Drosophila melanogaster: one gene and its partner. The protein of the gene in region 1 interacts with the protein of each later gene in a pairwise test. Each region holds a gene or a part of one and is shown on either strand. Other genes may lie near its edges.

Region 1 (4,969 bases):
TTTTCAAAATAATCCAATTTTCTTACAGTTTATGATGTACTTACTGGTAAGATTCAAGAGGCTATTGAAGGACATAGGACTGTGATAAGAGATCTGGACTGGCATCCGGATCGCTCAGAAATCGTGTCTGGCTCGGTAAGCATCGAAATATGAGTAATATTCCTCTGAATAATAATGCACACTCAACTGCCTACGCAGTGGGACACCCATGTTCACCTGAACAACTTCAGCCGCAGCAACGCCAATCGTCCGGTAAAGCGATCACATAGCTCGGATCATGACAAAAAGCCCCTGAGAAGATCACGACGTTTGGCGAATCGAAATGTTACACCGGACTAGTTGTAAGGTTTAGAGTATAAGCTAGTAAGGTCCCCTTTGATATTACATTTCGTTACATTCATTCATAGTGGCTTGCCTAAGCGACGCACGAGAATATTCACCACAGTCGGGCCGGCTGGGATAATTGGTTCTATTAAATAAGACTGAAGAATATGTCACTCACTTGAAATGTATAGTTCAGTTTAATTAGTTAGCGTGTTATACAAAACAGTACATTAAAATGTAAACCATGAAGCTTACCAACTACCTACTTAAGTTGTTTATGTACAAAAACAATCATAATAAGAATCACGTTGAAATATATTTCGTTTGCTCGATCTAAATTCCTTGAAAGGCGACTCTCTTCTTGACCGCTCGTATGCTAGTTCTTTGCACCCTTACCGGATACTTGCTATGCTGTTTGCTTTTAAAATGCTCAACGGCTTTGTTTTTCCAAAGGTTGCGAATGCGCGTTTCATCGTAAGGACAGTCCACCACATTTAGCTCGACGTTTTCGCTGATTCCGTAGCCCACGATCTCGCCCAGCGACGAATTGTGAAACGCACTCATGTCGAACAATTGAAATTGGTCTGCACAGAATTTAGAGATATTAAAATGATTGAATGATTTGAGTTTTTCTTGGATCTCTTCCAGGGATAAGAGGTCCTTAGGCAGGTCTTCATCGGCTGACTGAACGCTTTTATTGCCGGAATTATTCTTGTCAGCACTTACGTCGTTCCTATCTTCGCCTCCTGTGTCCTTTCGATTATCGACAGCCGCCTCCACGGCGAGCGCAAATGAGGTGATCTCCAGTTTAGTCGAGGGCTCCGCAGACGATTTTAATTTGGATTTCTTCTTCGATTTCTTTTCAGTAGCTTCCGAGGCGGGAGGTGTTTCTTCTAAATCTTTTTCATCATTGTCCTTACGCTTCTCTTCCTTGGATTTCTTTTTCTTCTTAGACGGAGCTTCGGCTGTTAAATCTATGGTAATTTCTTCCTGAATTTGAGTGGTTTCTTGACTGTCCTTAGATTTACTTTTATTTTTAGTTCTATTTTCATTCGAAGTATGCGATTCATTATTTCTGTGTAAGTCGTCATCATCGATTACAATTACTTCGTCGGATTTCTTAGACTTTTTCTTTTTTTTCGCAGCTGGTTCTTCTATCGAATCTTCTGCAATCTCCTTATTTTTATCTGACTTTCTTTTCTTTTTTTGGTCACTCTCTTCTGTTTGTATCGACACTTCTGCTGATTCCTCCTCTTTTTTGGACTTTTTCTTTTTGGAGGAAGTCCTTTCACTTTCCTCAGTGATTTCCGCCATCTCTACGCAGTTGTTGTCCGTCTTCTCGGTTTCATCGACAGACGATCGCTTAGATTTCTTCTTTTTCTTAAGTTTGGGAACGTCCTGCTCGATTTCTTCCACAGCAGTTGGTTGCTCGCTAGTCCTTTCTTTGCTTTTAACTAATTTTTCCTCAACAAAGTTGTTCTCCGACTGCTCAATTTCATCGAGAGACGATCCCTTCGATTTCTTCTTTTTCTTAAGCTTGGGAGCGTCCTGCTCGATTTCTTCCACAGCAGTGGGTTGCTCGTCAGTCCTTTCTTCGCTTTCAACTAATTTTTCTTCATCAAGGGATGATCGCTTTGATTTCTTCTTTTTCTTAGGCATGGAAGCAACCTGCTCTGGTTCTTCCTCTTTAGTTGGTGGCTCGTCTGCCCTCTCCTTGTCTTTCTTTTTTTTCTTTTTCTTGGAAGTCACTTCATCATTATCTGCTGAAATCTGTTCAAACTTTTCAGCATGACCATTGGTCTGTGCCTCGTTGTTGTCTTCAACTTGGGAGCCTTTCTTTAGTCTGTTTTTCATGGCTTCCATTTTCTGCTTGAAATAATCAGTGGTCGACAGGCCCGTGACAATTGTCTGCACGCCAGCGAAGTTGGGGTTTGGCTCCTCGGGTTGGACAGCCAGCACGGGTTCTGGATATCTCTCGACGTCCTCAGTTGCCTTCTTGCCGAATATATTGGCTAGATCCTTTTCGCTGTACAGAGCCAAGTCCTTGCCGCGTGTGAACTTCTTATAGTGGACGCGTGCCCTGCTCTGCTTCGACCGCTCCTCCAGCGACATTCCACTGGTGTTCTCCTTGAGTTTCTTCTTAGACGGCTCCTCCGGTTCAATGGCTTTGAAGCCAAAGCCCATAGGTCTGGCCTCCTCTTCGGACTCCGGCTCTTTGTCTATGCCGCCGCTATCTTCCCCATTTAGCGACTTAAGCAGCCCATTGAAGCCATCCTCGTGTACAGTCCACTGATCATCGCGCTGCTCGAAACCCAATCCTTCTGCGTCATTTTTAAAGCGAATGCGCACAAAATCCTTTTCGCCATTCAGATTGGCGCCCAGGCCACTGCCTTTCGTCCAGCCCATTTTCTCCAGCATTTTGGTACCGAAGCGATTTTCATCTGTTAAAGTTTAAGAATTTACGATTTACCAGTCACATTTGGAGTTTAATGCTCACCTTCATAGAGAGCCTTGCCGCGCGGACACAAGTTGTACTTTTTGCGCCGACGTGGTTCAGCCAGCATAGCCATTTTAGTCTATAATTATTTATAATCTACTTCGTTTTAAATGTAAATTGCGGATAACTAACAAAGATACAATTCGTAAATTGCGAACAACCCAACACGTGCTATCAAATATCGATAGCAAGTTTAAACAAGATATATCGATAGCGATTGTCGAAACAGCTGCTCAGCAGGCTTAGGGATGAGCGTTGGCTGTGCGCTGATAACAGGTGATTAACTATCGCTCATCTCTATTTGGGTGTCATTACTAAGTTTGTTGTTGTTGCTCTTAATTAGTTGTTATTATTTTCTGACTTGCGAGCTTGCAGTCGACTGATAATGGATATAAGCGCGGATGTGGATCAGATAATAGCCCAGGCTCCGGACTGGACCTTCGCGGGCGACTGTGCTCTGCTGGCGCTGATGAAGCGCATTTCCCAGGTTAAATTCACATACGTGCATAGATAACAAGCCAATTTGATAAAATTTTTGCAACAGAATCTGGAAGAAAGGGGCGAAAGGACCAGCCGCAATCTGCGAGACTTTGAGACGAGCGTGAAGCAAGTGGATATAGCGCTGAACAATGCCACTACCAGCCTGCGATCCCTGCAGTTTGGAAATCAGTTCGTGGAGTATCGGGTGGAGGAAGTGGATGACGCAGATTTGGCCATGCCCGAAGAGAAGAAAAAGAAGGTGCAATAAGCGATGGAATTTTGCAGGCTGCTGTGTTTACAGATCTTAATATGCTTGCAGCCAGAGCTGCCGCTCAAGAGTTCCGAGGAATTGGCAAAGGAGTTTCTGGAAAACAACCTTCGTATGTTCCGCAAAAACTACGAGCCGGTGACCATAGAAGTGCCCGATTCGGATGATGAGGATGGCCCCGTCCACTCAACGTAAGTGACTACACTACGATTCCGATCCATACTAACTCCACTTTCCACAGAACCGTATTCCGTGCTAAGAATCCCTATGATGCGATACCTTTGCCCTATATTATTGGTACCAAAGAGTGGCAGGAACACAAGTATGCCGGGTTGTATGACAGTAAGGAGAATAGTGAAGATGACAGATCCGAGGAATTCTCCTCAAGCTCATCGGACGAAAAGGAACCCGAGACCAAAAAAATAGCAACGCCAGCGAACAAATTAGAAGAACAGCATCTGTCTGACTCCTCTTCCCTAGCCTCGTTTGCCAGGGAACCGGCAATCGTGTCGCCAGTCATTAACCCTGCTGTTCAGGTAGCAGAGCCTGTCATCAGAACACAACCGCGTCCAATTATAAACAGTCAAAGGAATCCACATGAGAGGGACATGTTTGCTGCCCTCCGGCAATCGCCGCCTAGCGACGACCCGCCATCCACATCGTCATCGCCTACATCTTCACCAGCCTTTAGGAATCCATCAAGTCGCCTTCCAATCGTATCTACTGCATCGCTTAGTTCCAGTAGCAGTAGTCCTGCCCAACAACCTCCTCGACTCTTCGACGAAGCTGTTTCAACCCAAACTCCGAAGGAGGCTGAGATCAAGCCAAGCCAAACAAAGCGCATGCCAGTTAATCTTTTTAACGAAGATGAGTTTAAATCCTTCATGTCCGAAATCGTGGACAAAGTCCAGTCAAAAACACCCAGCAGCTCCGTCTCCCCAGCAACGACAATTTCAACAAAAGAACCACCCAAAACTAAAAAACCCGTGGAAGAATATCCAAAGCCAGGGCCGCCAAAGCAGATTGTTGAGCAGACAGTTCCAAAACGTGTAAACCTCTTCGACGACAGTCCTCCATTGAGTCCAACTCCGAGGTCAGAGCCTGTTTTTAATAATACTAAAGCAACGGGTGCAATACCAAAACGGAGTCCAGTTGTAGTGGCCAATAATGATGAAGATAACTCGCTTTTTGGTAGTTCTCCTGCCATGCCAAAGGAAAATCCTTCCAAAAAGCCACCTAAACCGGTAACCAAATCTCTATTCGATGATGACTTGGAGGACGACGACTTCTTGAGCTCCTTTACGCCCAAAGCAAAGCCACCAGAACAAAAACTGCTCTCAAAACCAAAGCCCTCCTTATTTGATGATGATGATTTGGATATCGATGATATATTTACGAAA
Region 2 (2,693 bases), on another chromosome or scaffold:
GTGATCTACTGCAAAACTAGACGAACTAGACTAGAATGTCGCTAGGATTGGGGTCCACCAGAAAAAAAAAAAACATATCAGTTAATGTACCTAAGCAGGTTAGCGAACGAAAGTAAGTAAGTGTAACTAGCGACCACACACGGGCGTTTCATTTGTGACCAAGCACCACCAAGCGAGCCACCCAACGAGGGGTGGGCATCTGAGGAATAAGATGGATAACGATAACGAAATCGGAATCGAAAACTGATGTCAATCACTATCAAGTTGAGACAAAAAAAAAAACACAAAAAAAAAGAAATAAGAAAACTATACGCAACCCATTCGCTTTACATATCCGTTACCAAAGTATCCTCGTAGTTTGAATTAGAGCAACTCTAGTCAATTAAATGTTTTAGAGCCGTTTTATGCGCAAATTGTTAGTGCTGTTATCTAAGTGTGTTAATTGTGCTATATTAAATATGAGTGTTATACCAATCACTAACTAACTTAGCAGAGCTTACGAACTTGTTTATACCCCTACTGTCAGCGAATTATGGCAAGCAAGCCCACAAGTATGCAATACTTTTCGTTACGAAAGTTGTGTTTCAAATACAATACGTTCTATAGTTGTTACAAAAGATACTAGCTAAAGCATATACTAAAAGTACTATCTGCGCTTGTTACTGCAATTTCGTTGTTTGTTTGAGGACTTATTACAAAAAAAGAATTATATAATGTCTGTTAATATATTTCCATATATATTCGTGTTTTAGAGAGCAAATGGTATACCGTAACTAAAGGCTTTTTGGATGAATATATATATATATATATATATATAATAATATATGTATGTACAACCCGTAAATGAATAATGAAATGAATGTAGAGGAATATATAGAATACGCGTATAGACTTGAGACGTAACAATACATATCAATAAATTTATATACATCCCAGGAAGGCAAATGATGCCCCACGGCGCAGGACGATTTAGAATGATATAGATACATATATAACCTATGTGTGTTTGTTTGTCTGTTCGAGCCGTTAGCAAAAAAAAAAGATGTTTCGATGGCGATCCACCAAAGCTGTCAATAATCTGCAAAGAATATATTATATACATAAATACTATACGTATGTTATTTACAATGGAAAATATATGAGAAACGTTAAAGGACAACCAGATACTTATATCAAACTAGTTGCTGTGTTCATTGTTGCTATATATGTACTATATGTATGATTATCTTCTAAACTGTTAACCGAACTATCACTACGTACTATCCAACTAACTATCTATCTTACCTGTATTATTCGATCTGTGTATCAATCATTACGTTACCATACTGTTCTGTACTGTCGTTAAGTTTGACTCGTTTCCATATGGCCAAGAGCCGCAATTAATGTATGCATAAATAATCACGAACCGAATAAATTGAAATAAATGCATTACAAACCAAGACCACCATCATTCCTGACCTACAATTGATCTGCTGGTGAATGAAAATACTCCATACGTATATGGATTTGGATAAGGCGCACGGTCAAATTGGCCACGTATTTTTCAGTGACTTCTAAGAATAGATAAGTCGTCTTCCGCTTGAAACAGTCATGAAAATCCGAGCTGCGCACTTCTTAATATCCAAGTGGTAAATACGATAACAAATAAATAAATAAATAATGATAAGCCAATGCCAGATAAATAGTGTTTTAATAAATTAATTAAATAAAATACCAATGGATACCCATGGCCAAGTGGTTCTCCATAAAAGGCCCTGGCCGTTCTGGGCACTTCAACAGTCTCTAAAACGCCGTCAACATGAAATGTAAGTACCGTACAAGGAGTAACCGCCAACGCAATCCGTGGACCATTCGAGTAACCGGCTCAATTCGTTGCAGTCTTCAACCTGCTGTTTAGCCTCTGTCTGGCCTTCATGCTGTGCACCTCGTGGGTGTCGGCTTTCTCCAGTCTTGCCACCCCGGAGCCAACTCCGCCAACTGGTGCTCCCGTCGATGGTACGACTAGCACGGGATTCTCTGGTCCGCCGCAGGCTGAGACCACAAATGCCACGCCAGAAACGTCGACCATCTATCCCATTTACGGATAGTCATCATCGATTGATGAATTAAAAACTGAATCGCAAATATATTAAAATACGTGTAATTTTCACTTGCATCGAATGAATTGTGGGGGTTACGGTACGGAAAGGCATTTGATTATTTTATACGGGTTATATATTGTCCAACATAAAACCAGACGAGGGCATTCAAATAATCGACATTCACATAAATTAGACACTAAACAAAATCCACACCGATGTACATATGCATCATATGTAGGGGTGCGCCTAAAAAAAACCGCAAGCTAGTTAAGTAGACACCACGTTGCACCTAGCTGCTGCTGGTCGCCACATTTCGCCGGAAAGAGCCTCGCACCTGCATCTGCAACTGCTCACTGCTGCACTCGTCTCGACCGTACTGCACATGGAAACGAAAATCAATTAGCAACATTTGGCAGCGAGCTAACCACAGGCATACGCACCTTGCAGAAATTGTGCTCCAACAGTTCCACTGCCGTTAAACGCCTCTTGGGATCGTGCTGCAGACAATGATCGATGAAGTCGTGACCCTCCTGGGATAGGCTCTCCGGTGCCTGCGGCTTCTCGCCCATGCCCACTTTGAACATGATCTGGAAGTTGGAATCAAACTGGGCC

What was found.
Region 2: the proteins of CG11180 (region 1) and CG14302 interact in a two-hybrid assay, tested with the Drosophila melanogaster proteins (one large-scale study listed by BioGRID).

The regions. Positions count from the first base shown.
Region 1 is NT_033778.4:20,620,410-20,625,378, forward strand, and holds CG11180 (uncharacterized protein), read right to left. Parts: upstream 3,021-4,969; 5' UTR 2,895-3,020; coding exon 2,822-2,894; intron 2,766-2,821; coding exon 658-2,765; 3' UTR 505-657; downstream 1-504. Other genes in the region: CG9945 (uncharacterized protein), read left to right, coding at 29-135, 199-339; FAM21 (family with sequence similarity 21), read left to right, coding at 3,207-3,308, 3,366-3,560, 3,621-3,760, 3,811-4,969.
Region 2 is NT_033777.3:18,730,908-18,733,600, forward strand, and holds CG14302 (uncharacterized protein), read left to right. Parts: upstream 1-1,773; 5' UTR 1,774-1,798; coding exon 1,799-1,805; intron 1,806-1,878; coding exon 1,879-2,087; 3' UTR 2,088-2,127; downstream 2,128-2,693. Other genes in the region: Mekk1, read right to left, coding at 2,371-2,457, 2,522-2,693.